4 linked regions of the Caenorhabditis elegans genome follow. The protein of the gene in region 2 interacts with the protein of the main gene of each other region in a pairwise test. Each region holds a gene or a part of one and is shown on either strand. Other genes may lie near its edges. The genes, in order: hlh-27, unc-130, fozi-1 and dmd-8.

Evidence for each region.
Region 1: the proteins of unc-130 (region 2) and hlh-27 interact in a two-hybrid assay, tested with the Caenorhabditis elegans proteins (one large-scale study listed by BioGRID).
Region 3: the proteins of unc-130 (region 2) and fozi-1 interact in a two-hybrid assay, tested with the Caenorhabditis elegans proteins (one large-scale study listed by BioGRID).
Region 4: the proteins of unc-130 (region 2) and dmd-8 interact in a two-hybrid assay, tested with the Caenorhabditis elegans proteins (one large-scale study listed by BioGRID).

Annotation. Positions count from the first base shown.
Region 1 is NC_003280.10:5,537,008-5,544,067, forward strand, and holds hlh-27 (BHLH domain-containing protein), read right to left. Parts: upstream 3,207-7,060; 5' UTR 3,203-3,206; coding exon 3,045-3,202; intron 2,989-3,044; coding exon 2,758-2,988; intron 2,711-2,757; coding exon 2,293-2,710; 3' UTR 2,068-2,292; downstream 1-2,067. Other genes in the region: C17C3.11 (Protein kinase domain-containing protein), read left to right, coding at 828-992, 1,039-1,111, 1,156-1,403; C17C3.24 (uncharacterized protein), read right to left, coding at 3,997-4,080, 4,506-4,568.
Region 2 is NC_003280.10:11,278,787-11,286,397, forward strand, and holds unc-130 (Forkhead box protein unc-130), read left to right. Parts: upstream 1-3,179; 5' UTR 3,180-3,208; coding exon 3,209-3,546; intron 3,547-3,980; coding exon 3,981-4,307; intron 4,308-4,547; coding exon 4,548-4,884; 3' UTR 4,885-5,173; downstream 5,174-7,611. UniProt on the Caenorhabditis elegans protein: Probable transcription factor. Binds to DNA sequence motif 5'-CTGTTTCA-3'.
Region 3 is NC_003281.10:9,278,487-9,286,708, reverse strand, and holds the start of fozi-1 (Formin-homology and zinc finger domains protein 1), read right to left. Parts: upstream 4,929-8,222; 5' UTR 4,776-4,928; intron 1-4,775. UniProt on the Caenorhabditis elegans protein: Acts redundantly with hlh-1 to promote body wall muscle cell and coelomocyte specification in postembryonic mesoderm progenitors, probably through suppression of sem-2.
Region 4 is NC_003283.11:331,649-339,580, forward strand, and holds dmd-8 (DM domain-containing protein), read right to left. Parts: upstream 4,803-7,932; 5' UTR 4,791-4,802; coding exon 4,655-4,790; intron 4,499-4,654; coding exon 4,326-4,498; intron 4,277-4,325; coding exon 3,758-4,276; intron 3,487-3,757; coding exon 3,205-3,486; 3' UTR 2,953-3,204; downstream 1-2,952.

The sequences.
Region 1 (7,060 bases), 5.7 Mb from region 2:
TTCTAACTTTAAATTGCGTAACTTTTTGTATTTAGAGCTCGGAAAAAATAATTAGAATGTCTCTATAATTTGCTAGTTGACAACTATGTAATTTTCTGAAAAAGTTGACAAAAATTGTTTGTTTGAATTTTTTTTTTTCATTTTTCACAATTTTATAGAATTCTCTTGTTTTTGAGTGTAATTTTTGAATACAAAATTGAAAAAAAATCTAAAAATGTTCTGTAGAAAGTTGAATTAACTTAAAGTTCAAGGAACCGAGTGGGCGTGGCCAAACGAGACTCCAAATTCCGCTGGGCAGTTTGTAGTGGGAGTTCAGTTTTAAACTATTTTTTCGAGCTTTTTAATTTGAAATTTTGATTTTTTTGGAAATTGCAATCATTTTAACAAAAATTAGTTTCATAATTTCCCAAAAAAAAAAGATAAATAAAAAACACCGAATAAACTTTGATTTTCGCTGCGAGACCCGTAGATGGACAAACAATTATTTGGCCATGTTATGGGCGTGAGTTTCCCCTTTTTATAGGAAATTTTGGTTGAGAATGTAAAGGGGATATTAGAATTGTGTTAATTTATATTATATATATATATATATATATCAGAATAAAAACAATTTGAAATAATTTTGAATCAACAGTCCGGATTTTTGAAAATCTCCTTTTCTAGTTTATGAAGTTAATTTTATTGCAGAAAAAAACAAGAAAAACTTTTTTTGAACGTGGACTTCAAAGATGTGATAACGTTGTGTTTAAAAAAGTTCGTCAACGACAAGATCAATATTTTCCGAAAATCCATAAATAATTTATTTTCAAATCTATTCTCGTCACGAGATGACGGAGGCTCCCGTTATTCAGCTAAGTATTGACTATAGAGTTCGTCGTTACAAGGTTTTCAAGAAACTTGAAGATGGTGAATTCGGAGCAGTGTATGCTGTGCGAGATGATGCTGGAGAGGAGCATGTTTTGAAGGCTCAGTTGAATACCAAGGAGATATATGTGAGTTAATACTGTCGAACCATTAAGCAGAAAATGTTATTTTTAGTCGCTGAGAATTGAGCTTTGTGTGATGACAAAGGTATCTGAGAAGTCGCCCAGCCACATGCCTACTCTCATTGGTATGTAGTACACTTTTGTAGGTAACCGTAACCCCATCTTTCAGACAAGGGACGCCATGACAACTTTAACTATATTGTCATGAAGCTTCTTGGGAAATCCCTGCAAGATGCTATAAAGACTGGGCCTGATGGTCATTTGACATTTGGGCTCTGCGATTGGGGCATCGTTTCAATGCTTGGAAGCATTGGAAGATTTGCATTGGAGTGGGTTCTTGGACAGAGATGTGAACCCTGGCAACTTCTATCTCGGAAGAGCAAGCCAAGGCGAGCTTCGCAACATTTTTGTTCTTAGATTCGGATGTTGCCGAAAGTATGTAGATCGCGAAAATTTGATGCTCGAGCCAAGAAAAACTGTGCCATTTCGTGGAAGCCCTCGATATGCACCGCTTGCATCACATAATACGGCGGAACATGGACTGAAGGACGATTTGGAAAGCTGGCTAGTTTAATCAATTTAAGAACTAGTCATTTATGTGATATATTCTGTAAAGATGCCAGAAGGCCAGATTGGGTTATCACTTAGAATTGAAAATAAGAATAATAGTTTTTATTTGAGAAAATGTGTTTTTCTAGGTTCTACATGCTCGTCGATTTCACCAATGCAGCTCTTCCCTGGAAAAATGTAAATGAGATTGGCGAGATTGGTGCGATGAAGAAGAATTCCCGCTTCCAACCGATCATGGGCCAATTCCTTGCTGGCTGCCCAGATGAATTTCGCTTGATTATGAAGTGAGTCTCTACCAAAGCTGATTTATTCGTAATTTTCCATTTCCAGCTATATCGACAGTCTTTCGTTCTTCAAGGAGCCCGATTATGAGATGATCTATACAACACTGCAAAAAGTGATGCTAGACAAGGACATTGAAGAGTTTCCGTATGACTGGGAGATGGAATTTGGTGTGGACTAATGGAACTTTGATTATACATACTTGTCTTGCTTGTATTCTGGCTAACAAATTTTACCGAATAAACATTCATTTTCAAACAGAATAATTTAGACAAGACTATCACGTGAGTAGTAAAAAATCTTCAAAAATAGATTGCGACGCGATGGGATGAAAAAGTTCGGGAATATTGGCCATAGAAAGATAAAAAAATGAATCAAAAACGCAATATAGACAATGAAGATTTTCGAAAAATTGCTCAGAAACTAATTGTAAGATCTGGAAGAACTTGATAGACTAGTTACTAATATCGACGGTTTCTTCATTTTCTTCCTCGTCACTAGTTTCTGGTGTTAAGATTTGAAGTGATGGAAGAATGAATCGGAGGGGAGCAGAAAATATTGATGGAACGGTGTTGTAGTTTGACAAGACATTGAACTGAGTAGTTGGGATCATTGGAATACATGGAAATGTGAGCAATGGAGAAGTAGATGTTGGGGATTCTTGAACTTCTTGAAACGTCAATCTTGGGAAGAGATCCTTCACTTCCATTCGTGTTTTTGGCTTTTCATTCTCTTTGTTCTCACAAGTAGCAGTTGATTTTCCAGCTAAAAGAGGAAGTATTTGGGGAATTGTTTCTGGATACAGAAGATCGGAATTGTGTTTAATGTAATCAATGATGATTTCTAGAATTGTGATCCGTTCAAGTTTTAATCTGAAAATAATTTTTTGAATTTTTATTAGCCATAATGAAACTCTTACCGTTGCTCGTAACTTCCCATTTGTTTGTTCAAAATGAAGAATTTCAATTCAGCATAACAGTCATCTTGTTTCTTTCTTCGAATCTTTTCACGTTCAGTCTTCACTTTTCTTCTTTCGGATTCAGTATCAAACTTCCGTCTTGTAGATTCGGAGAGGTCATTCGATGAGAAATTAGATTCCAGATTAACTCCAGTCACAAGTTTCACAATTCGGAAGAGAACTACTTCTTGTCTAAAAAATGAATTAGTTTAATAACTATTTTAAGCTAACAGAGTATTTAAACTTACGATATATGTTCTTCTTCTGATTTTTGAACAATCGTCTTGCATTCGTTAATCAACTCGTTTGTAATATTTCTTCTTTTCCGTTCAGATCCTGATTTTGGAGTTTGATTGTATGGGACGGAACGATAATCGCTCATTGAAGATGGGATAACTTTTGGCATCTGAAATTTGATAAGTTTTAATCTTTTTAAAATCAAGAAGAAATCTAGAATTTATAAAATTTCAAGATGAGCCGTTAAATAAAAGGAATAATTGTGACAAAACAGAAAAATGAGACCAAGAAAGCAGCACAAATTGATTTAGTTTAGTGAGATAACTCGTGCTGTTTTTCTAGAAGTATACAGTTCACTGAATGCTTTAAAAGTAATTGATCAAAATCAGTACACTTTCCTGATGTTACAATTATCAAAAAGTATACTAAACCAGCAGACCAGTGATCCACCAAGAAAGTAAATGAACAATGAATAAATGGTTACCTTTTATAGTTCCATTATTGTTCAGAGGGTGGAGCTTTGTATCAAGCGTTTGGAGCCATGGGAATTATTCTGAAATCTCTATTTTTACAGTCCCCATCATGGGTTCCCATGGTTCATCAGTGAGGTTCTCATGAGAACGAGGCTGGACATCTCCAGTTTTGTCTTGGGACCATGCGAAACTAGACGACTGGATATCGATTGGGTACTGCCTGGGAAATTCCGGCTGAGACTGTGAATTAGGATATTGGCACTGTGTTAATTTATTCTATAAGTTTATAGTAGTATCAACTGTACCGGATGAACAACATTTTAAACAGAAATATCTCGAAAAGAAATAAAATAGGAGAAAACAACTGAAATTATTTTGCCAGTAATTCTAAACAAGATTGATTTGCAACAGTTTCTTCGAACATAATTTTTATATAAGAAGATATCTATTTTGAATTGACAGTGGTCAACAGAATAAATATGGAGAACAATCATATTGGAAGAGCTGGAATGCAAAAGTGAGAGGAAATTGATTTGAGCTCTTCGATTATGGACGCAAAAATGGCATGGCGTGACTGAAACGACATAAGTTTGAAAGTTGATAGGACGATTTATAATATAAATTGTGTTCCCTGTTTGCTCCAATGATATGAATTTCGGCAACAGTATCACTACAGTATCACGACAGTAGCCTTATAATAACCCGCCAATAAATTCATTTGATCTTCGCTCATGATCTCAGAAACGATTTTTAGTTTTATTACAATTATCATACAGTATCATGATAACAACGGAGATTGCCCGTGGAATAGTTCAGCTACTGGAATATTGGCTACAGTAATCCTATGGCAGTAGCTATGACCTTAAATATACTCACATCTGTCTCCCAAATTACAATTTTTTATTTTTTATTCTTTAATATATTAAGCCATAAATTTCATCGTACAACGACGGAAGACAATTTTTGGAAACTTGCCGAGTCAAAATTATCATGACTCACCTTGGAGATCGTGGAGGAAGCCAGATCATTTGTGGCAATCTCTTCCTGAAGGCGGGTTTCCATAATTCTCACAGATGTCTTGAAACGGTCCTAGGCATTCTAGAAATGTAATGTGATGACGAATAAATGTATATTTCTAACCTTCCGGATTATCTCCAAAAGAGCCTTTGCTCGGTTATATGTGGCACGGTCGACGCCATTGGCGGTCTGAATATAAAAGATGAGTTGAATTTCAGAACGAGATTGAAATACTCACCTTTTTCATTTCACTTCTTGCCTCTTTTTGAAGCTTTCTGCGGTCCATTTTGTAGCAGATGTGAAGGTAAGATCTGAAACTATGAGCAATAAATTAATAGCGAAGTCAAGTCAAGTGATTGAATGTAATTGGTGAGGAAATTAGTATTCAATTTCAATCAAAATCACTGAAACTGATATTTCCGTTTTCAGTGTTCCAAAGTGTACCAATTGCCAACTAAAAGGTTATGTGAACAAACTTTCAAATCAATAAGCCTCCTCAGCTTCAACAAAAAGGGACAAATTTTATCAAAAACTATTAATAACGAAAAATCCCTGACTCATGGTGCATGGCTCTTTCTCAATTCTGATTTTTTGTTGTCTCCCCCCGTTGCAACGATGATAATTTCTGTCTTATTTCTGTATACAGGGTTGCCTTTGGCCTGAATGTTTTTGTCCTTTGTTTTAGGGAAATGAGTTCTGAAACTTTTTTTGTTGGTAATACTTCCAATACTTTGTTAGGTTCAAAAAGTGGTTCTAAAAATTTTGTTTTACGCCATCCATTATTTTTAAAATAACCTGAACTCGTTTTGGTTACTCTGAAGTAACTTAAAAATCGCAATTGTTAATAGAGATAACAAGATCTATAAAAATCGCAGCTTTAGTCTGATTGATCCGACCACAAGGGGCTTCCACGAAAATTGATAAACCATTTCGACAAAAAAATGAGTCATGTTTTGACTGTTACTGACCAACAATTATCGCTACTATTTCTCTTAAAAACAATTGAAAATCATTTAAAAAAAAACAGTTCATTTGTCTCTTTCTGTTTTGCATTTACGTTTTCCAACATTAAATTGACGACATCTGTAATACTCATAAAAATCGTCAATGCACACATTTTTCTCTCAGTTTTTCCTTTTAGCTACAGGACTTTTCGTTTTTTTTTCATTCACTAATTGAACAAGAGAATCCCTCTTGAAGGGATGACTTTGATAATCAATTCGTACACTCAGACAGGTGCGAGTCACGGCTAACCGACTCAAAATCACTGCTAATTAGCTTTTTGACCAGGGATAGAGTCAACCTGGCTAGCTCTGGTTTTTTGCTAATTAGCAATGGTTTGCTAATTAGCCATGGTTTTAAGCTAATTAGTTCTGGTTTTTTGGCGTTTTGCTAATTAGCAGTGATTTTGAGTCGGTTAGCCGTGACTCGCACCTGTCTGAGCATGTTTGGTTTAAAAAAATATTTAAATTTGTTTAGAAAATGTTTTCAATATTTTTTTCAGCAGAATTTTACAGATTTACAATCTTCTTTCATACTCAGATGCAACAAATCTCGAGTTTGACGTCAGGTAAAACTTTCAATTTCTTCTCTGACACTATATGTAAGTTAGTTTTCCATTTATTTCTTGAAGTTTTTCTATTTAAAAAAACTAGCAAACTTTTGTTTTTCAACTTCCGTCGTGTTTGAGCCATTTGTTAAATAATTAATAACAAATTTTTCACCCAATTTTTCCTCTAATAATAATATTGTTTTACTTTGACAAACGGTGGTATTCTTTTGAGTATATCAATAATGCATATCCTGATAAAGTATATAATAAATTACTCGAAAAATGTTTTACTAATTAATAAAAAAAAACACAAAAGACGCTACTGCTTGAGACTCGAACCAGCAACCTAAGGAGAGCTCTGCCTCGTACATTCCATTTATTCTCCCCTGCACCACAAAAGACACACTTTCGTAGTCTGTATCTCTACAACAGACACTCTCTTGCTGTTACTCGCTTGCCTCGAAAGCGGTCGGTACACACACTTGCATGAGACGGGACGTCTCGCAGTGTTAGTCGGTTTTAACCCAGTTACTCAAGGTACGCTGGAGTTCTGACCTTTCGAAAGAGAGTGTCAAACAACTTTAACTTTTGGAACCGCTCTGCTGGGGTTATCCGGTAGAGCAAAATAAACGAACTAATTGTCCTATGAATGTTTGTTAGAAAACATTGTCACTTACATAGGCTCACTAAAGGATTTCCGTTTAAGAATTATTAAAAAGGAGGCATAATTAAAATTCATACAACGTTAAGTAGACTGCATTTGTAAACTATGCGATAGTTCCTATATTTTGGAGATGTATGTATAAATTCTGAAACTAACGTATTTATTTATTGGTACTTCTTTGTTCAAACGGCACGAGTTTCTGGTAGATAATATATCCAGAAACTTTTCGTCTTGAAATTTTTTTTGGAAGCTTTTATAAGTCTGGTAACTCTAAAGAGACCAATCGGAAATTTGTCGTGCGTTTAAAACTATTAGTGGATC
Region 2 (7,611 bases):
CGGAAATCAGTTTTAGAAGAAATGTCGTTTGCAAGTTTTACCTGATCCCCCAATAACAAGTGCAATAACAATAAACTAGTGTTTGGGGGGGATGGGCAGTTCCCTACCCAAATTTATAGCCAATCTCCATTGATTACCGCTATCATTCTGTCCTGAAATAATGCGTCTCATTCAATAGGGGGTAATTGCAAATGGCAATGAAATTGGGTTTGAACTTTTGCTACTCAAACATGGGTGATTTTGAACATTTTACTGAAAACTGATCCTAGAGTGGTTAACCTGATTTCTGAGTTCTTTCAATTCTAAAAATAATAAAAAATAACTCAAGATTTTGGTTTTGTGAAAAAAATATAAAAACACGTGAAAAACTTGTTTGTAGTCATTTTGCAAAAAAAAAAGTTGGTTTTTGAGCACAATGTTCAACAAGCTTTGGGTGTAGGTAGGTATGAGGTAGGCCTGTCCATTAGGAAAGTATCAGTGTTCATTACGTCTACGCCGATGTTATATGGCACCTGCCGATTTGATCAGGGCTTGAATATTAGAAGCTAATTTTGTACTTTTTGTCTAAAATGGTTCTAATTATTTATTAAAATACCTTGGGTAGAATATCGAAGAGCCCAACTGGTCTCATGTCTCGCCGGAAAACGCGTCCTTTAGTTACTTGCGATCATATTTTTATGCTATTCGAGTTCCTTTTATGCTATTCGAGAGCTATTCGAGGAGCTACTCTTCTATTTTGGCTCTGATTATTTTTTGTCACTGTTAGAATTTCTATAGGCACGACTGACGACCGCTTTTTTCCCGGAAAACGCCCCACGTAAATTTGCACGCATACTTTTGGTTGGGAGCCAGTGGGGCGAGGATCCTCCCCTTCACGTAACACCTCAGTCTTCCGAGTAGGAACAAAATCGCAAAACTTTCGTGGTAAGACCACCGGCACCCCATAAACATTTATTAAGTAACACACACACAATTAATGCGTTCCTTCCCACTGCCAATCTTCTTATCAGAAAGATGAAATGACCGTCTCAACCGAGCCTGTGTGTCTATTTGTGTGTGGCCTTTGTAATAGTTACCACCTAGCTGATAACCGAGAAAGTTGGATTACCTCATGATTCCCTCATAAATTTGCCGACAGGTTCTTTAACGAAAACATATTTGTCTTTTGATTGTCTATTCTCTATTTACAAATTGATAATTGGGAGAATGCCACCCAGAATTAGTCGATTTAAAATTGAGTATGATCTACATAGATCTGAGTAGTGGTTGATCACAATGATATAATTATTATATATTAGTATCATTTTCTCTTTCTCTCTCTCTCTAAATTCACCCTGTCATCAGTGATGATTCTCAGTTTCGAGCGGCGGAGGGGCGAGCGTGTGGGCGGAGCCGCGTGTCCAATGAGCGTGGGGCGGGGCGGTCCAATTACCGGTGTTTTCTTTCGTTTATTCGCTTTTTGTGACTATGACACCAAAACGGAAGAATCAGTGGATCAGGCAAAAATATTATTATTAGAACTAATAGTTGGATTTAGGTTGGGTATCATTCTGTACCTATTTCACCTGATTTCTTGTGCTTCACTTGATCTTTGTCTTTATTATTATTGTTATTATTGTTGTTGTGCTCCTTGTTGTGCTCCTTATAAATCCCGTAAACTCTAAATCTAAATTGTTATCTAATACTTTTTATTGGTTACCAATAATATTACTTCTGCCAAAAGAGGCAAAACGCCGCGTTTCAAAAAATGAAAATTTTTATCTGTTGTTCATCACTGTCAAATTTATGATTATTAATATTTCTCACCATTCAAATTAAAACTTTTGCTTCAAAACTACATAAAACATTCAAAAACTTGAAACAAATTTTATTCGATTTTTGCAAGTTTTTTATTTAAAAAAAATTATACCGTATTTTCCCTAGCATTCATTTTGCTCATATCTCGGTTGTCCCAAGTTTTATCAAAAAAATTTTAACTGTCATAATGTAGAAAAATAATTTTTCCATAGTTTGTAAGTTGACAATTTTTTGATAGAACCAGAGAGAATCGAGATATAAGCTGTCAAAGAAGAGCAAGGTGCATGCAAGTCAAATAGGAAAATAGTGGGTTTTCCGGTTTACAAATTCGCATAGTTTTGAATTTTTTACAGAGTTTTCACCATTTTAGAGAATTGCTCACATTTTCTGAATTTTTTTTTCAAAAAATTAACTGGTACCTAAATTGAAATTTAAATATTTTGAGCAGAAGAGGTGAAACTCTTTTTTTAAATTTTTTAATTGCTTCTCATATTGATACTATTCTCTTTTTGTGCCAAAACTTCTAATCAATGCCCCGCTCCTTTCAAATCCTAAAGTTCCACTTAAAAACTGAAGAATCAAAAATCTTGAAACCTGTACTGTATGTACTCTTCCAAAAAACCACCTCCGTGCTTTTCATCATTTACAACTTGTCTCCCAGTCCTCGTCCGCAACTTGCTTTTGATATATTTTTTTCGACTTCTTCATTTCAACACATACCTACACACACAAAAAAAGTTTGCGCTAACACATGTCCGCCCGTCATAAATCTACAGTAATCTCGGAGCTTTCTTTCTCTCTCCTGATGCTCCCACACCACTCTGTCATTTTTCAATTGTTCTTCTCTTGGAAGCTCATCTCTCGTTTTCATTTGATCCTGCTAGAAGACACTTGATATGTTGTTTGTGTTAACTAAGATAACTGATATTGTTGAAAGTGATAGCTTTGCTTTGCTTTTCAACTTTTCGTGTTCCTCCTGCTCTTTTTTTTGACAGCTTACTAGTACCGAGTTCGGACCCCTGCATAGTACTACAAATATTATATTAATATGAGAATGATATACCCTTATTATCCCCCCACGTACTCTTGAGAATCATTAGTATGTTTCAATGTTTCGCCAACAATGGATTGGTATCATCTGCCCTTACCTACCGTACTCCCTCAAGTGCTCCCTCATCCATGATTACCGTACTCCCCTACTCTCCTCCCCCTTCTATCCGATTATAACATTTTTATTAATAATTATTATTGTCTGGTGTCTCGCGATGCCATCTCTATCTTACGATTTCGCTTTGAATTTTGATAACGCTATGAAAATATTAGCTTTTCTTATCTTTTTTATGTTTTACTTTTTTTCATAATTTTTTCATCAACTTACTTGCAGAAACTAACTAGGTAGACACCGGTAACAATGCTCTTTTCCATGGAATCAATTCTATCAAGTACCAAGCCAAAACTGGAGCCACCTCCGAAGCTAGAGCCGGAAGTGACAATCAATGAGCAAGTGGTTGATCTGCCGCGGAGCAACACACGGCTCTCCGAGCCATCAACTTCTGCGTCGGTTCTTGAACATGATTTGAAGTTTGGGGAGTCCCGAAAAAGAAGTCGGTCTCTTGGAGACGAGCCCACGGAAGATGAAGACGGCGTTCCAGTTCGGAAGGCAAACAAAAGAAATCATTCAACTTCAAGTGCTGCAGATAGCTCATCTGATGATGCGAAGGATGATGACGACGATGATGATTCTACATCGTAAGTTGGGAACTTGGGAAAAACTTAGGAATCTTAGAAGAAATTCGATTTTTCTCGACCTCGACCTTTTAGGTCCTTTTATACAAAAAGTTTGTATGCTCAATTTTTGTGAAACTTTGATCTCCGATATTTTTAAGTCTATTAGACATTGTTCAACTACCGTATTTTCCCTGTATGACTTGCATTCTCTTTACTCTAACTTGACGGTTTATATCTCGGTTGTCCTAAATCTTACCAAAAAAGTTTAACTGTAAAAATGTAGAGATATATTTACATGCATTTTGTCAGTTGACAATTTTTGATGAGACCAATAAAAACCTAGATATTGGCTGTCAAAGTAGAGAAATAGGTAGAGCAATATACCTATAATATGTACAGTGATATGTACAATAATATGTACTGTGTAAAACAACTGTAACTCTATAATTTTGCAGTCGAAAATCAATGTCTGGTCACCGAAAGAGCAGTCACGCAAAGCCACCGTACTCCTACATTGCACTCATCGCGATGTCAATTCTCAATTCACCGGAGAAGAAACTGACACTTTCGGAAATTTGCGAGTTCATAATCAATAAGTTCGAGTATTACAAGGAGAAGTTCCCCGCCTGGCAGAACTCGATTCGTCACAACCTAAGCCTCAACGACTGTTTTGTGAAGGTGGCTCGGGGGCCTGGGAATCCGGGAAAAGGAAACTATTGGGCGCTGGATCCGAACTGTGAGGATATGTTCGACAATGGATCGTTTCTGCGCAGAAGGAAGAGGTAAGGGGAGCACAGGAGAAAGTATTACAACCTGACGGGGAGTAGTAGCCGGCGGCGGGGTGAGCACACATACGAGATGTGAAGAGAGGGAAAAGACAGTTGTTTCGATAATTTGTCACCAATTTGTTGTCATTAATCGCACCCTCGAGGGTAGTGGAGAAGCCTGGGAAAAGAAAACTTTCGGGGTTAACAAGGGAATTAGTGAGATAAATTTTCAATTCAAACACTTAATAATTTCAGATACAAGAAAAACAGTGACACATATCACGAAATGATGTCCCATCATCCGATGCCATTCCCTCCATTCCTCCCGCAAGGAATGCCCTTTCCTCCAAGAATGATGCACCCGATGGCTAACATTCCCATGCTGGGACATCCAATGAATCCAAGAGCAGTTCCAAACATGCCAGCGTTCTTCATTCCACAAAATATTGATAGCCAGAAGCTCTTGTCAATGATGGCTTCGAGAATAATGCCAATGGATGCTCCAGTCAGCTCTGGCCAGAAGAGAACTTCATCGAGCTCCTCACCAAATGAGAATGGATCTTCGGCAGTTTCAGATAAACTGAGCGCTTAGAAGAACACTCAATTTCCTTGTTTAATTTTTAACAATTGTTTCCTATTTGCTTAACCTTTTCTAGTCTCTTGTTCCTTTTCCGTTCCCCTTCAATTCCTTTCAGCATTCTTCATTTCCCCTGATCTCAATCGTGCAATCAATAATCAATTTTTTGTTAATCCTCCTGCACGTGGTACCACAACTTCATTTCTTCAACTGATCTTCCCTTTTCTTTTTTTTCTTTGTTTCATTATCTGTGAAAGAGCTTATGTCGTAAATAATTCGAAAATATATATGTCCATCGTCAGCATTTTTGAAGTTAAAATCACATTAATCAATTGAGCAAACAGTAAGATGAAAGGAGACCGCAGAAGCTGCTGAGCCGATTAAAAGACTGAAATTGATAAGGGAGGGAAGTGACAAGACTGCTGCAGAGTTACTAGTCTGCAAAATGTCATGAATCCAACAAAAAATCAGGGTTCAGAAGACTAGGTTTTTAGTAGAAAACATACCGAATTTTTCAATTAGTCTTGCACCAAATTTGCTCTACTTTGGCAGCTCATATCTCGGTTGTCTTCAATTTTAACAAAACATTTTCAACTGTAAAATCATAGAAACATATATGAAAAATATTTCTACTGTTGAAATTTTCGTGATAAAACCAAAAGCAGCCGAGATAAGAGATCTGAAAGTAGAGCAGAAGGGGTGCAGTACTAATAGGAAAAGTACCGTAACTTACCTTTTCCTAACTTTTCTAAATTAGATGGATATATAACTGGACGCGAATATTAGCCACAGACAGAGTTCCTCAGCCTCCAAGAGTCCTCATTTTTCCATATAACCTGGCTCCTTTGGACTAGATAGAATTTCTAAAAAGACGACCTATGCCTACTTTTCTGTGAATAAAAACCATTAAAACCATAATTTAAATCAACATAAAGCTACTTGTTGTTTGGGCAAATAATGATACTAACAATTAAATGAACATTTTGAAAACTATGCTAAGATTATTCAAATGTTATCCTAATTACCAAAACCCTAGTTTAACTCGGTGACTTTTTGAACTCCCGCCAAACCATATAATTATCTCAAGCATGTCGTCTTCATTTCTATCCTAATTAGATACCCATACATAGTGTATATATGTATATTCAAACTATACAAAACGGATATTGCTTATCAAATTCATTCATCAGTTTGCCACGTCAAATCAAATTATCGAGAAGTGTGTGTGGGGGTGCAGTTTCACCTTATGCCACCTCATGTTTCGTTTGACGGCACATGGTGACAGGCCCGATGAGATTTTGAACCGTTTAATTGATACTAATCGGTATCTTAGGTTGTATTAATGTAATTACAAATACCGTATTTTTTAATGGTATGCACCTAACTAGTTAGAGTTATCAATTGTATTGGACCAACGAAAAAAGCCGATACAAGCTTTCAAAGTCAAACAATTGGGTGTAATGCTAATAGAAAAAATAAGATAGTTAGGAAAAAGGTGTTGCCAAAATATAGGAGCCTCTGCTACAGTAACCCGTGTTTAAAAGTGCCAATATCCTAATTATCTCATACAATGCAAAACTCTCCATCACCACCTGCAACTACTCCGCTCATATACAAAACAAGGATTATTTCAAGTAGGTTGAGCATAAAGATGTGAGTACGATAAGTACCGGACAATAGCCAGCCAAAAAAGGCTAACCGCCAAGAGTATTTCCATACAAAATGTGCGTCGGCTAATCCGCAAATTATAAGGTGCGACATACACAAGTCGTCGAGGTGGCGCAACTTAAAGATTCATCTGATACTGGGCAGTGAGAGAGCGTGTGAAGTGTTATAGACGCAGACGCCAAGGACATGGAGTAAGTGAGCAGATTGTTATGCAACCGAGCATTTGAATACCATCTTGTTAGGTAATGGACCCATCGAGACATATATACATACATAAACTTGTAACACCTTCTGTTGGCAAGGGTGAACACATAAAATTTGTGTCTGTGTTTGTGGAGGACATTTGGGGGTAATCAGTAGCAGAACAAGGAGTTAGTGGGGAGGAAAGTGATCGGGTAGCACAATTTGTTATCAGTTTTGATACAGTACACTCGTTTTAGCACTGGTTTGTTAGTTTACGTGGTGGCCATTGTTTATTCGCAATGCCAAAATTATGATTGGGAGTTGATAGATTGACCTGCTACTATAGTTATTTCAGAGATTTTTACCTGTGTGATTAAAGGCGAATAGATCTTTTCTGGATTTTGTTAAAATTTCAGTCTACCATAACTTTTTCCACGATAAAATATTCCTTACAGACCGATTTGTCTGTTAATAGCGTTATGAAGGATGGCAGGCACGTTATCCTAATGGCTCAAGCCTGCCTGCCTACGTGCCTGATGGTTTTTTGCATTTAGGTGGGAACTACGGCATTTGAAGATCACATAGTGACCTTTATATCAACATGCTGAAAATTCAATTGGAAAATTTTTACGCGGAAATTGGTAGTAGGTACACGAGGCAGGTACAATATCAAAAAAAGGGATAGAGTTATTTATAAGTCTTAGAGCTTGGCCCTTTTTTCCTAGGCCCAAAATAGGCCAACCCGCCTGCCTACATGTCTGGCTAGGCCTACTAGGTCGCCAAGAAGTTCAAAATGATTTTGCTGGCGCTCTGCCAATTTCTGATATCATATTACCGTATCAATATAATCAAATCTCCTACGTTTCAAAAACCAAATTGTAGTATCAGCAG
Region 3 (8,222 bases), on a different chromosome or scaffold from region 2:
AATAAAAAATTGCAATTTGAATAATTTCAAATTTGTTTGGAAAAAAGTTGTTTTCAAAAGTTTCTTTGATTAACCTATACCCGTATGGATCCTATTAGATCTCTTAGCTTTGATAGCTAATATCTCAGTTTTCGTCGATTTTCTCAAAAAATCGCCAACTAAAAAAATCGTGCTAAATTATTTCTCTGGTGTTTGATTTTTCAAATTAATTTGATAAAAGTTAATACAGCCGAGATATCAGCGTCAAAGTAGAGCAGTAGGTTTCATACAAAAATTGCAAAAAATGCCTGTACAGCGAATATAATTATAAAACTATGTTTACAGTAATCCAGAGGCGCATGTGCCTCATTATTTATTCATAATGATTATAATAATAATGACAATGGCCACATGCATGATAATAACGGATCTCAAGGCTATCCTACTCGGGTTACTGTAGATTTATTCAACTGAGAAAAAAACTAGACATAAAATGTACAATTTCTTTCCTTAAAACTGGCGCACGCGGCGGCGGCAGTTCCATTGAAATAAGCATTCAAATTGGAACTGACTTTGTACAATGTACTAGGCTATACAATTCTCGAAGTAAGGGGAGTTGGCTCTACTTTTTCCAATTTCCATATACTTACAGTGTGAACGGTGGCTGCTTCAGTTTGATGTGTTTGTTGCAATGGAAAAGGGATCTGAAAAAAAGTGAAATGAAATGAATGGCACTGAGTTGTACAACTTGACGATTGGCAGGGAGAATTGCGACAAATAAGAAATACAATTTTTTATCGAGAATTTTGGAGTCGGACCCACACGTCAATAAGTGATTTTGAGAGTTGGCAGAATAACAGTAATTTGTAGCGAAATGAATTGAGGATTGTTATGAAGGTTTGATATTCAGAAATTTAAATGATGACAAAAATGGCTTAAGAATGTAAGACGTTTTCTTGGGGAACTGATTTTTTCAAAGCTTAAGCAACTTTCAACAGTAATAAAAATCAAACTCTTCAAAAATTATACAGTACATATATTTTTTAAGTCAACTCAACAGCTACATCTGTAGTTCAAACCAATAATGTAGAAACAGTTGTCCAAGCAACAAAACAATCACGACAAAATGAACAAAAATGTGAGCTTTTTCATGAAGCAAAGATACATTACTAGGCGTGATTGACAATCAGTCAGAAAAACGAAAGATTCATGGAGTAACTACAATACTAGTCATGCTCTACTCCCCAGTTTGTATTCAGAAGGCGGACGCGTCACAGATTCTGACTAAACTTGAGAGAAGTTGCCAATTGATTGAACAAAAAAAAAAGGAAATATGGGGATTTGAGATTTTAAAAGAAGTTGAAAGACTTTTTTCAGCTAAGGCTTAGGCTTAGGTTTAGGATTAGGCTTAGGGTTAGGCTTAGCTTAAGCTTATGCTTAGGTGCAGGTTTAGGATTAAGCTTAGGGATAGGCTTAGGCTCACCCAAACACATATTGCCAAAGTCCTATACACAACTCTCCCTGCACAGTTGCTAAATTTACACTGAATGCGCAATAGAGATGTTGCCAACGTGTGTGATTTTACACCATTTCAAATTTTACCAAGGCACGGCGCCTGGTGTGAGCTCACCAACTGACGCCCCTAGCTCCAAATAGTCAGAAGTTGGACGGCTACCTCCTTCAAATTCTATTTCATTTTTCAAAAACAATAATTGTTTTTCGGTTTTTTTCTTCTTGTTTAGACGTATAAGGAAGATGCGCATTTTAGAAAAAAATATAGAGACAAGTATCGTATTACCGAGAAATATTAATCATGTTTTTGAAAATGGGCGAGTGTTCACATCTTGAGAATAAGTTATTCGAAGAGAAGGGGCCTCCAATTTAACTTTTGAATTAGTTATTACAAGGAGGCAAAACATTGGATCTTCGAGTTTTTGTTTTGTTCACTACTTACAGGTAAAAGAAGATGACTAGATGAAGCTGATGAATAGTTGAGAGGTATCCTGAAAAACACAAAAAATAGGTACCGTAGGTGTAAAAGTAATGAGTTGGTAGCAAAAGCCGGCAGAGCCCAATTGGACATCAGGCGCCGCCCCTAAGTGGAGCTGAGTTGGCAGCACCACCATGATTCAAAAACAGGAGGAACAATAGGAGCGAGATATTGGAGGATGAAATTTACATATGTGTCAGTGATTAACAACACAAAAGTAGTTGATTAGCAAGTTAATATGGTATGAATAGAGCGTGTGATAGGCACATTTGTTTGCCGGAGGAATAATTAGTTTCATAACTTTTGAAAAATTTTGCAGTTAACTCGGTAGATGGGTGAGATGGAAAGTACATAGTATTAAATTGGAATATAGATAATTTTAAGATAGTTTAGGTCAATAGAAATATTTTATTTCCCAGAAATATGAAGCAGTGAAACCAATGAGATACTTCATAAATTTTATTATTTATGTTTTTTTAAAGGAATAGTACGAAAATTTGAAATCTTCAAAATAAACCGAAATGTAACTTTTCAAAGTGAAGTAATGTAAGGAAATACAGTAACTTTTTGGAAATTTCTCTCAATCATGGTTAGAAAATTTAAAATTCTCACATTATTTTGGCGTGAAAATTTTAAGTTTAGACTTCATAAAGACTACAGTACTCATTGCAACTGAGTGTGAAATTATCAAGCAAAATGAGAGTTTATATGGGTGCGAGATTCGCGGAGTTATGAGCCGTAAAACAACTGTGAAATGAGTGAAAGTTGATGGACGACTCGAGAGATCATTAAAAGTTTGATGACCTCTCAAAAAATGGGAAGTTAATGTCGAAAAAGTGGGGGAAGAAGGGAGGAGACTCGATGATTTTTGAAGAATAATTTCATTGAAATTTGTGAAATCTTCGATGAAGCTGGATAAAATTTAAAGGGCTTCAATCTTCTTTTTAACCAAAAAAAATATAGAAGACCCGACACCAACTTGATACGTTGATAGGTTTTCAATTTCGTATGAGATTTTCAAAATTTTTGAATCCAAGGCTTAACTGAATAGGATAAGGCCATCGTTGTTAAATATTAGTCGCGATGAAAACTGACTAAGTAGGAGCTTAGCCGATTAGAAATTGTGTCGACACGTGGATATGTCCATGAGGTCAAAGTTGAAAATTCGAAATGAGGAAGTAGCTAGTACGAAATAGCAGAGTAAATTTTGACTTTGTTACTAGAAACTTAATGTTTAAAAAATTAGAGCCTTCAGTTTTAGAAATCTAAAAAATATGTTTTTTTGTGGTTGACTTCCATCCATCATACTCGTTGCATTTTTGAAGTGCTTTTTGAAGTTTGAGTTAAAAATAATTTTAGATTATAAAAATGTTCAATCAAATCTACAATTCCTCACAAAAACAGTCATAAAACCTGCTCAACTTTTTCTAGATTATTTTTTTACTGGACTTAAATCAGACGATAAAGCTAAGAAGATCATATGCTTATCAAAGATCCAGTAACACTATCGAAAAAACTCTTCGTTAACATTTGAAAAATACATTCAAAATTGCCGTTAAAAATTAAAAAAAAAATTTCGAATACGAAACCTCCACCAGAAAACAATGGGAATAACAAATCAGAGATGAGATACGGTGCGATTTTGCTGGAATAAAAACTCAACAAACAAAACAAGTTCAACTTATGGTAATCTGGTCGGGTGGATCTAGGATAAAGCTTAAAATGAAAATCTTTGGCACGATGCGGTTTTTGGAAAAAAATAATTAAATTGAAATTCATGAACTTTCAGGGGGACAAGGTAAAACTGAAAATTACGTTTTCTAGCTTCTAAAAAATGTTATAATTTGAGTGGCTTATATCTCGATTTTCTTAGGTTTTTATCAAAAAATGTTCCACTATCAAAATATAGAAAAAATATTTTGCACGTATTTTGTCAATTGACAGTTGTTTGATGAAACCATTTGGAGCCAAAACTGTCAAAGTTGAGCAAGGTCTAAGACAAGTCTTTTTTAGAGAAATATGGTATTCAAAAAGTTGAGTAATCATTTTAATTTTCAATTTTTACGCAAAGTTACTTGCACCTACCGTAAACTTAGATACAGAAACCTATTATCCAGAAAATACTTATTTTTTTGGAACAAATGAAACTACATATAGAAAATGTAAAAGTATTCCATGGAAAAAAGACAAAAGTTTTGAAAATTCAGGTGAGAAAAATGATCGAGAACGGTGAACGAAGCTGTCGATAAAGCCGAAAAGCTGAGAAAGTTTAGAGAAAATGGAGGGAAAGCGGCGAATCGTTGGGAAACTAAGGGTCCACTCTTTCCTGGTTGCCACGCCTCTTTCGTCACTTTCACCTTTGCGCCCCTGGTGCCTGCACCAAAACAACTGCCATCGAAGTAGATGGAGGTGGAGAGAGCGACGGATATATGTACAAAAGAAACATCAACGAACACTAGGGAGGGCTAAAAACAAGATTTTTTCATTCGATGGCGGATACTTGTACCAGAAAAACGAAGGAAAGAGAAGCATCAGCGAAAGTTTCTGTTACTTTATAGTAATTGGGTTGATGATGGCAAAAGAAGCTTCTGAAGCTTCAGAAGGTGAAAAGCAAAACAAGAAAACAACATAACAAGAAACTAGAAATTTCAAATCTACCACAGGCGTTGGCCTAAGTCCAAATGTGGCTCTAAGGGGGTGTCCATCTCTATGCTCTCGATATGTCAAATAAAGAGAATAAGAAGGTTGAGCACAGGAGCTCCTACTCCCGTTTTCGCACATTTCTCAATACGATCACACTCCTCACCTTTTCTTTGTGTCTATGTCATTGTGTGTACAGGCGCAGGCGGCCGGAGACGAATCCCCACCAGCGTCTTCCGCTGATTGCGAACGGTTTCAGAGAGTGAAGTGGTCAGTTGGCTGGAGCACGTTGGAGAAGAGGTTGTAGGATGCTCTGAAAATACAAATTAAGGAGAGATGAGATTTTTTGAAAACGGGGGAGAAGGGTTACGGTAGCTTCTAACATTGAAGATTTAGGTTTCTGAAAAACAAAAGTTTTAAATTTAGAGCCAAGTAAACTTTTCAAAAAATGTTTTAAAATGGTTTTTTTTGCAATCACTCATAATTTCAGATGTTGAACATGAAAATGTTCATTTCTGCATTGCTTCTATACAAGGCAGGCTCGGTTTCAAAACATGGCGCCTGCCTGAAAACTGGCTTCCTCACACCATCTTCGCGCATTTTTCTGAACTTTTTTTTAAATTAAGAAATGACGTTTTGGCGCCTACATGAACGCTCTAAACTTCTGCAACAAATTTTTGAAATTCAAATTTTTTTAAAAATATTTTCATTTGAACATTTCTTTTTTACCATTTTACCTAATCGTCAACTGAAAATTTCAAAAAATCTAAACAATTTACGAAGATTTTGTTTTTCTACCGTAACCTATTTTTTATACCGTAGCCTATTTACTCTAAACTTTTCTAGCTGAAATAAAACTGAAAAAATCTTAAAAAATTGTTCAAATACAGAGAACAGCGAAAAAAACCACCCTGTGGAGAGCATTTCAAGCAAAAATAAAATAAAAATCTGTCACAAAGCTACTATAACAAGTGACAAATTGTGAAAAATCTGGATATTATAATGGATAAAATAAGCTATCAAAAGTTGTAAACCACCATTGGATGATCCCTGGATGTTCTCAAAATCTCCATTTTTCAATCACATTTTTCATAATCTTATAGCATATAGAGCTTTGATGTTAAAAATAGTAGGAAGTTACGGTATGAGCTCTCTGGATGTTTGGAAATGCTCAAAAAAGAAATCGAGATCATTTTGGATCAAGATCATTGTTTTCTTTTCTCAACCTCCAGGCGCATTGACTCTTCTCCCATACAAGGTCGAGAGGTGGCTCCCGTTGTGTTCCGAGTTAAGCTTGCACACACCTCTCACTCTTGCTTGCAATCTATATATGTGTTTGCGTATCGTTTTCTTCTCGGGGACGCCAAGTCCTTTTTTGCGAAACAAACAGGAGACTATAACGACGTGTGAGCCTGCTGCTGTTGCGATGAGAAGAGCAAAATGGGATCGCGGGGGAATAATGCGACAATCAACGCGAAAAGTTGCGCGCGCTCATCTTCAAGCCTCGCTAAGCCCATGGACTCGATGACAGACACCAAAAAAAGCTCGATGAATGGGGGAAAAAGAAAAGGTGAATGAAAAAAAAAACAACAAACGGGAAAACAAAAATGAATAGGTGTGAACTTTGAGCAGGTAAAGATTCTAGAGAAACTAAGAAAACAGTGGGAAAATTTTCGGAAAATAAATTTGAAAACTGTAGTCTGTAGAAGTCCGATTCTTTCGAAGAAATGTAAATAATTTCAAAAGGTGAAAGTTCTTATTTTTAAAGTTTTAAATCAAGAAAACTCATAGCGCAAGCTTTAGCTTTTTTCTGGTATGTTGAAAGACACTGAAAATGTTTCAAGTCTGGCAGGGATAATACGGTATTCCAAGGTAGTGCTACCCACAAAAATCTCAAGAAAATAAACCATTCATTGTAATCTCGAAAAAGTCAGCCTAAAACCTAAATTCTAGTTCTGAAAATCTCCAAAATCCTAGACACATATCCACATCTGGTTTGAACTTCACGCAATCATTGTTCACTTTCACGAGACGCAGACCACTTCTCTCCCCCTTCTTCTATCCCACCCATTGAGCTTATTTTTTGTTTGTATAAGTTTGTTTGTTATCCGTGTGAATTACACGAAAAGACGGATTAAAATCAGATGGTAATGAGAAATAGATACGTATGGAATCTGGAAAGCTACCGTACTCTAAAATGAGCATTTGACAACTGTGTTCTCATACAGGCGGCGAACACGAAACGGCATAAATTGTCGGCGCTGGGCGATGACCATGTGCCGAGTGTTTTGGAAAAAACTTTAGCGGAACGATTAAACAAACTTTTTGGGAGGAACTAACGAGTGCCCGCATGATGCACTTGGATTACTGTATAATTCGAAATTTGAAAAAAAAAAGTGGAACACTGAGTGGACTTAGGTTTAGGGAAAATTTAATTCCGGATTTTTTTCTCAGGAAATTTTGAATTTTTCTGAAGATTTTTTAAAATTAAATTTACTAGTCTGGGTCTTTCGGCGAAAAAATGTATAGTCTACAGTCTTTTGGGCACCAAAAAGTGGCCACCAACAATCAAAAGTTTTTGTCATAAATGTCTTTCTCGTGGCGGGACCCATCTGAACTTTAAATAATGTTTCAGAAAATTACAAAACTGCGATGTTGTTCCCTCCAAAAAATGTTTCCAAATCATTGCAAAGACGTAGATTAAGCTGTAAGATGTTTAGAGTTAGGACTATTCGAAAAATTGTGAAATCACAAAAAGCAAAATTTTGGAAAAAAATAGCTGGCACTGTAGTAGATCAAACATATGATTCTTTAAAACTAACCCCGAAGCAAAAAGTTATTTCCGATTACATCAACCTAGGAAATTCCGTACTTCATAAAAAAAGTATCAATACTCATTTCCTTTCCATTTGAACTTATGCGTGAAATTCCTTAGTGAATAAGTGAAACCTATAATTGTTCAATGTCAGACCCGAACATTTTGAAATGCTTCATGAACTATCTGTGTTTTGAATGTGTTATCTACGCATTCGCAAACCAATTTCTCCTTTTTCCGCCACTTAAAAGCGAACATACGATGGCAACATCATGTTGCTTCTTTTTCTGAAAATAAGCAAAAAGAACCAGCCCTTTATACAGTAATACATAGTAATGGCATAGTTTCTTCGTTTTTGGCTTCACTTATCCGCGTCTCTTAGACAGAAAGGCAACATATTCATCCGTGTCTCTTCACAACAGGAGCGGGGATGAAGAGCGAAAACAACATGACAAGGAGGGAGAAGACGCATTAAGTGTATTTTCAGTGTGGACACCACCACCGAGATGCAACGAAGACGGTTTTCATCAGCGAAAGCTTTTGCATACCAGTTGATGACGATGAGAGAGAGACACGAACACTTATTACCATTTTACTTTCTTTTTGTTTCTTTTTGAGATGAAGCTGCGCGCGTGCTGGCGGAAGATGAAACTAGAGGGGAGTTACTGGGATAGCAGGGGTTAATGATAAGATAAGGGATTGAAGATACTAGAAATTTATATGGGGGAAATGCCCTTTAAATATATGTATTTGATTTTTTTTAACGTTTATTAAAAAGTTAAAAACCGAGAATCAAAA
Region 4 (7,932 bases), on a different chromosome or scaffold from region 2:
AGGAAAAGGTATTGAAATAAAAATGTTTTTAAAAAAATGTAGTTTTCAACTTTAAAGGAAAAATTCTCAAAAACCTATATTAATATTTGAAGCAAAAATAAACCAAAAAATTCGAAGGAAATTTTCATTTTTGATCCACGGCTTCAAAAAAACGGCAAAAACTGAGATTATTTCAAAAAATAAAAATAAAAAAAATATTCGTACAATTAGAATAAAGAAAATTTTTTAAAAAATTAGAATTAGAAACATTTTTTAAAGCAATGCTTTAAGCTAAATTATTTTAATAAGTAGAATTTTTGAAATCGACCAAAAAATATTTTTCAACTTTTTTTTGAAATATTCACATTTCAAAAATTGTAGAATACTTCAAAAAAAAATCTAAAGTTAAAAAATTTGGAAATTTACTAAAAAATTTAGAAAGTGTTTAATTTTAGTATAATTTTAAGCTGTAATTAAAACAATTACTTTTAGCCATTATTTTTTTAAATGTAAATTTTCAGTCTTAAAATATTATGATTTTTTTTGAAATACGACTAAAATTTTCCGATTTATTAGGCTTCTGAATTTACGAGTTTCCCACCTTTTACGAGTTTCCCACCAGTTTCCTACTTACTAAGTAAGTAAGTAAGTAAGTATATTAGTTAAGTTTCAAAAATACACGTATTTTCATTTTTGTTTAAACAAATTTCTGGAATGAAAAAAAATAATTTTTGAATTCAAAGATGTTCTATCAAAAAAATATTGGTTCAAAATGTTTGAATTAATTCAATTTTTAAAACAAAAAAAATCGAAAAAAAGGCGATTTCATAAAAATCAAAAGTAAATAGACTCTGCTTCTTCTCGTCATATCAAAAACTGCCAAAAAATCAATAAACTGGCTCCTACCCATGACCAAACTACACAAAGCAAACAAGGGTCCTTTAAGGGGGTACCTACAGGTATCATATAACATAGATATGCATATGATCTTGGAAAAATGCGGAGCCAACTCTCCTGAAAATATGCTTGAAACAAGCCAACACCTTTTTGATGAGAAGCCTCTCCGCCCGCCCTTTGTGCTCCACACTGTGTTCCCTTATCAAACCGTGCCTTTGTGTTTACAATTTGTGAGAAACTTTTGAAACTTTTTTTGCCGCCTTACTTGGGCAAATAGAGGAAATAATTCGATTTGATTTCACAATTTTCCTGTTATCAAACTGTGGTCTGGGGATGTGAGTCAATTATTGAACGGTGCAAAAATCACAAAACGGTCACAAATTGCTCGTTATTTTTTTCGTGATTTGCTAATTTCAAAAGTGGCACAGAAAGTTCTATTATCAAATTATTTTCAGTTTTTCTCGATAAAAAAACAACTTGTGTTCCGTATAGGCCTAGTTGTCAGCCTGCAAGCCGGCCTTCGTCTGACGCAACTTTCAGATAGGCGCCAATACAAGATCGTATATGTTTTAAAAGTTTCATGAAAAATATTCATTACTGCAAAAGGTTCAAAATACATTGCCTACCAACCTACCTACCAACCTGAAATTCCAAAGCAGGCACCGGCAGGAAAGTAGGCTGGTTGAAAAGCTGGTAACTGGTAGAAAAATAACAGATTTTCGGAAATATTTCTTACATTTCTTATTTTTATTAATTCTTAAAATATAAATATTTTTTGAAAATTTAAAAATAAGTCAAAAATAAATATTTTGAGCATCCGTCTATCTTTTTTATACCTAATTTTAAAACCGTGACAATAATGTCAATTTGTCCGGAAAAAATTGACATTTTCCAAAATTTTGATAGGAAAAAACCCGCATTTTGTGTGAAAAATTCCATAATCAACAATTTTCGATAAGGATACATAGAGAAGAAGGGAAATTTTATAACACCAAAAAACAAATTTGCAGAACCTGAGCATTTGGCGTGCTAGCCTAAGATTGCCTACTGCCACCACACCCTGAAGGCGCGTAGGTAGGCAGGCACGCAGGCATGATGTCGTGGCGAGCACCGAACAATAAAAAACCAAAGTAAATCCAATTAAAGTTACTCAAACGTAATTTATTTTATACTACCTGACTTCCTCACGTCATCTCAAAAATCACAAGCTCTATGTGATTCTCAAAACCGGCATTCCATTTTTCTTTTACGAAGACGATACTAAAAACATTTTTTATTGATAAAGCTGATAAGAAACTTATGAAATCACTAGTACCGGCTCGAGTCGTTAACAAGAACATTTTCTCGGGTGACTCAGGATTCAGGTTGGGCACTGAAACATTGATAAGCAATAGAATTTGATATGACGTCTCGAGGGCACGATCGTGACATGACTTCTTTCTTTATTTGTGATTTGTGAAGACAACGAGAACTTCTAGGAAGCAGCCGACACTTTACAGTTCGCTTTTTATAAGAGATTTTTTGAAGAGATACAAAAAAACAGGTCATGTTAACCGAAACAAAATTTCTAATTTTTTAAAGATTTATTTTAAATTTTTCAAAAATTGAAAAAAATCTGATTGTGAGATTTCACTGGTAAATGAATTTTTCGGCCATTTTTTTCAAATTTTCAACCATTGTCATTAAAGGAAACTTGACAGGCCGAAAGGAATTGGGTGAAACTCTAAAACTGGCCTGAACTTAACATTAATTTTTTTGCTGTAAAATGCATGCAAATTTGACAGATCACGTCTCAAATAAAAAATCAAAAAAAGTGAAACTGCTCAATTTAGCCGGAAAGCTTATTTTTGGAATAGCAAAATTTGAAAAAAAATTACAAAAAATTCTACAAAATATATATTTGAATTTTAACATTTAGTTTTTTTTTAATATATGGGATTGCTTCCTGACGTTTTATGCAAAAAAGGCCGTGAAATTTCTAAATCCAAGCTTAATTCCAGATATGGTGGCTGAAAATTCGGAAAATTCTCTGTAAAAACCGTGACTTTATAATTCAATTTCTAGTCGAGTCATAAATTGATAAGAGTACAATTTTATTAATTTATCACTTTTGCAGAATCAAAAAAAAGTTTTTGGAAATATAAAACACAAAAACATCAAAATATTATTATCATCATGTTTGAACTGAAAACCCGCACAGCTTAAAATTTCGATGGGGTTTTTACTCTTTTTGAGGTGCAACTGGGAAGGAACTAGAGTTTTACAGGGAAAAGACAATAAATCACAGATTGGAAATTGTTTTTTTTTTTGAAAAATTAAAAAGAAAAATCAATCGGTTTCAGCGCAGCTAATTGCAGCGCTAAGCTCACGGATATTCTGAAAATTTTGAAAGTTCTGGAACAACATTTGCATTCCGATAGGGGTCATCAGGAGAGGATTCGGGAAAAGAGTTGGAGCAGCTCCGTACATAAGCGGAGCCGTGAAAAATGGTGAGGCCGCGGTGGACATGAGAGAGGGTACGGTAAGAAATGAAAGCGGTAGGCTTGATGGAGCAAGTTGTGGAAGAGCAATTGGTGAATGCGGAAGGAGAAGCGGCATTGGAGATGTTGTCTGAAAAAAATTTAATTTAGAAATTTTAGAAATTCTGGAAAAAACCTTTTAGAGCAGTTTTTAGGACGAGACTAGTGCATGCCTACATGCCTACATACCTACATGCCTACATGCCTACATGCCTACATGCCTACATGCCTACATGCCTACATGCCTACATGCCTACAGGTTTACATACATACATGCCTACATGCCTACATGCCTACATGCCCACATGCCTTTTCAGGTTCAAGCTGTACCTGAAAAAATTTTCAGAAAATCTGAACCTCACCTCAAATGGAGAACCAGCCGGACTAGTGCTTGCATTTGCCGAAGTCGCTGCAGGAATCATAAATCCCCCGGCACTGAAGTCGAATTTCATCTGAACCTGCGGAGCCATGTTCAACTTCTCTGATAGCATTCCAGATAGCGAGCAATCCGAGGATGAAGCCGACTCGTCCGAATTGCAGCCCGAAGAAGATGAGAGTGACGATGATGAAGCCGTGGTGGAGCCCTCTTTTTTGGGACTTTTCGGTGCGATAGCTTCAACCGTGTTGCCCTTTATGCTCATTTTTCGCTTCTTAATATGCCGGTCCAGGGCACGACGGGAATCAATCAAGTTACACTGTTGGCATTCGCAGCTGGAATATTGGCACTCCTTTTTGTGATTTTTCTTCCAGACGAGCACATTGTGATTCTTGCATTTTTGGCAGAAATAGCACATGTTCATGTTCTCCATGACAGCTTTTTCATCTGCCTCCCCACCTGTGAAGCCTGGGAACACGTTGGCCTCGCTGATATCATTGGTACGCTGAAACACGGGGATAGTTAGGAAAATTAGGAAAAAAATCACAAGGTACCTGGAACTTCTTGTCTTGCTCTCGTCGGAGACGAATCTGAGTTGACATGATCTCCCGTCGCTTACGGACCAAGTCACACTGCTCACACTCGCAACTTCTATATTCGCAGGTGTGCCCGCGCGTCTCTACGAAAACTCCATGCTGCTTGCACATTCCACAGTGCCGTTTCACATCTGAAAATTTAACAAAAAATAAAACTATGTTAGGCGTAGGCCATACTAATTTCTGAAAAAAAATCAGCAGCCGACAGTTAACCAACCATACATTTTTCTACTGACCCTTTCTCGTGAAACCAATTAACTGTCGGCTGCTAAGAAGCTATAGCTCACCTTTCGGGATCCTTTTCCCTTGGCTGAAAAATCTCTGTGCTCCAACATCCGGGGAGAGGCTGTTGTTTGGTGAAAGCCCTTCTGGAGCACTGAGCGATGAGGCATTTGAAGAAGATGACAGGGAAGATGAGGACATGATCAGGTAAGTCTGAAATTTTCCATTTTTCAAGAGTTGGAAAAGTTGAAGCACAAAATGAAATTGTGAGGGCTACAAGATAAGGGATGCTTGAGCTTGATGACCTGATTGGCTGAAATTTTATAGACACTGCGTCAATGGAATATTTACAGTACTTTCAGTCACTTGTCTGAAAAAAAATCTTGTGACATGTTTTACTAGTCGCCTGATAAGGCCCTGGGGGCTATATAGACGATGCTTTCAGAGAAATTTTCAGGGAAAGCATAAGCAAAACAGGAAGTTGTAGAGGCTTGGGCGCGTGACCGAAGTTTTTCTAGTTTTCTTCGGCCACCAAAAATTTCCCTTATCTACAGTAACCTAGCTCCCCTTGGAGCAAAAAAGCTATCGAAATGAATTCACAAATGAAATGGAATCGAAATAAATAAATAAAATTTCATCCGCCTTTCCCATCTTCAATCCAGGAATGAAAGATTTTCTGTATCTGCCGGCTCCGCCTCTTTCTTGAATATCCCTGATTGCTGTCTAACCATGTCTAACGTCTCCGCCATCCCTCCCCACTCATTCGAGAAAATTCGCCGTAAACATTCTATTTTGGCTCTGCGGAGCTATGACGGAATTCTCATGTCGATGGGGGAAATTACGTAGATTCGCAGTTTGCGTAGATAAGGAGGGGCAATCCGGTCGGGGTTTTACGCGGATCAGTATGGAGCAACTGAGCAGTTGGACTAAAAGCCGATTTATTTCATTTTGTTCACAAAAAGGTGGTGCTCATCTCGTTTTGAAAACACTCGAATTTTTTAAAACTTGAAAAACTTGCTGGCCGACGCCTATGACATATGCCTATGACCTCCACCTATGGCCAACGCCTATGGCCTACGCCTACTGCCTACGCCTATGACCCACGCCTACTGCCTACGCCTATGACCTACACTTATGGCTAATGGCCTACGCCTATGGTCTACGCCTACGAAACCTTGGAAAATTCAAAGTTGAGCAAGCTGAAAATCATTGCAAAATGTTTCATAACAACCACAAAAAAACACTAAAACTAAAAAGATTTTCAGAAGTTTCAACAAATCGGATGACAAATTGTGTCGAAAATCAATCGCTCAGAGTGGTTTCAAATTTTGTGTGGAAAATATAAGAAAATCTGTAGCGGATTTTGACGATTGCTAATCTTTTTCTCGCATTGCTTAGCCCTTGTGTTTGAATTATTAGGCGATTTAAATCCATTTCTGTGATTGCCTTTATCATGCTTTTTTTGTTTTGAATGATTTTTTTTCTTTTTCTAAATAATGGAATAATTTTTTAAAATGTTTTTTCTAAACAATGAAATTCGATCTAAATTTGAAAAGGAGCCTGGCAAGCAAGCCCGAAAGCCTCGTTCACCGACTCCAATGCACCAAATTTTACACGCAAGGTTAAAAAAAAATTCTGTACCGTCCTCGATCACTGTCGGCTGCACAAAAAAAACATTTTTTCCAGTAAAAAAAATGTTTAAAAAAACTATACTAAAACATGTAGGAACTAGTTGTTTTATACTAGTTTATGCTCATTTGGGAAATGCTCATTTCTGATCGACAAGTTTTGTTTTTTTGCCACCGTCTAGACGCTCTACCGTAATCTTTGAAGAATTCTTGCTCCCACCGGGGAAATCTATATTTTGTCACGTGGAATAGGGGTAATAGGAAAACATAGAATGCAACAAGATTTCTTGGAGGTAGGTAGAAAGCCTGAAAAAAATCAACCCATAAGAAAAATTCTTGGAAAAAATTAATGAAGTTACATTTTTTTATTTTCCAAAAAAAACCTGCACTCCTAAAAATAACCATACCTAGTGACATTGGTTTTGACACCAATAACGTCAAAATTCAATCTGCTTATCATTTTTGATAGCTCCAAGCCACGTTGTTCGAAAGTACCTGGATAAGCACCGGCTTGACTCGGTCAAGTCAAATTTTTGCGTCACTGGATAAGATGGTTCAAAATGCGATGCTGGCCAATGCTATTCATAAAAATTTCAAAAGTTTTGAGAGATCACTGGTTTTCCTGAGTTTTCATGTAGAAGATGCAGTCGGGCCAGCTAAGAAATTGTTAAAAACCACTCCTATTGTGTAAAATGACAAAATACCAAAATAAAAATTTTCAAAACAATTTTAAAAAAATTTATGGACAGTCAAAAAAAGCAATTATTGAGTTTTGCCCCATATATTTGACTCATAAGTAGACTAAAAAAGCTCGAAGAAATTTATTTTTACTTTTAAAATTTGATTTTCGAAAAAGTGGCAAAAATTGTGATATTGCCAGTTTTCAAAAAAACAACTCTATATTTAATTTTTTTTAACATTTAAAAACATACATATTGTTTTTAGAAATTTTTTCTAACTTTAGACTTATATGTATTATATGTACACGTTTCTGATCGCTTGTCCAAAATTGTTCTAGACACCGCGAGACACTACTGGTCCCCCGTGATTTGGGTACGTTTCACAAAACATGATTGTCTGGAGGGTTACTGACATGATTCCTGTTTTGACAAACATTTTTGAAAAAAATCAATTTTTGGTGGTTTTTATTCAAATTTGAAAGTAAAAAAACACTAAAGTTATGAGAAATTTAGTTTTTATAAAAATGAAACATTTTAAGTTCAAATAATTTTTTTTCGGAAAAAAAGTTGAAACCCCCTAATTTAAAAAATTTTATTCAAAAAAATTAAAACTTTTAATTTGAATTTTTGCAAGATTTTTTAAAATAAAATTTTGAGTTTCCTTAAAAAATCAAACTTGTCGTTCAATTTCAAAATTTGTGCAATTTTTTCCGCCAATTTTTTTTTCTGAAATATTAAATGCTGATTTTCTCGAAAAAATAGCCACGGGAATTTAATTTCTGAATTTTTTGTAAAAAGTTTAATTCCTTACTAAAGTTGTTTTAAAAATTTAAATTTAATTTTCCTGTCGAAATTTTGAAAAATTAGAATTTGAATGGTCTCGCAGCGAACTCTCGAAAAATTTAATAGTGAGGCAAAATTGAACATGGGCATACTGATTAATAACAAAAATCAAAAGCCCAAATTTCACCTGCCAAAATTATATTTATTTTTTGGGTTTCCACAGTTTTAAGAAAAAAAATGTGTGTAGTATGA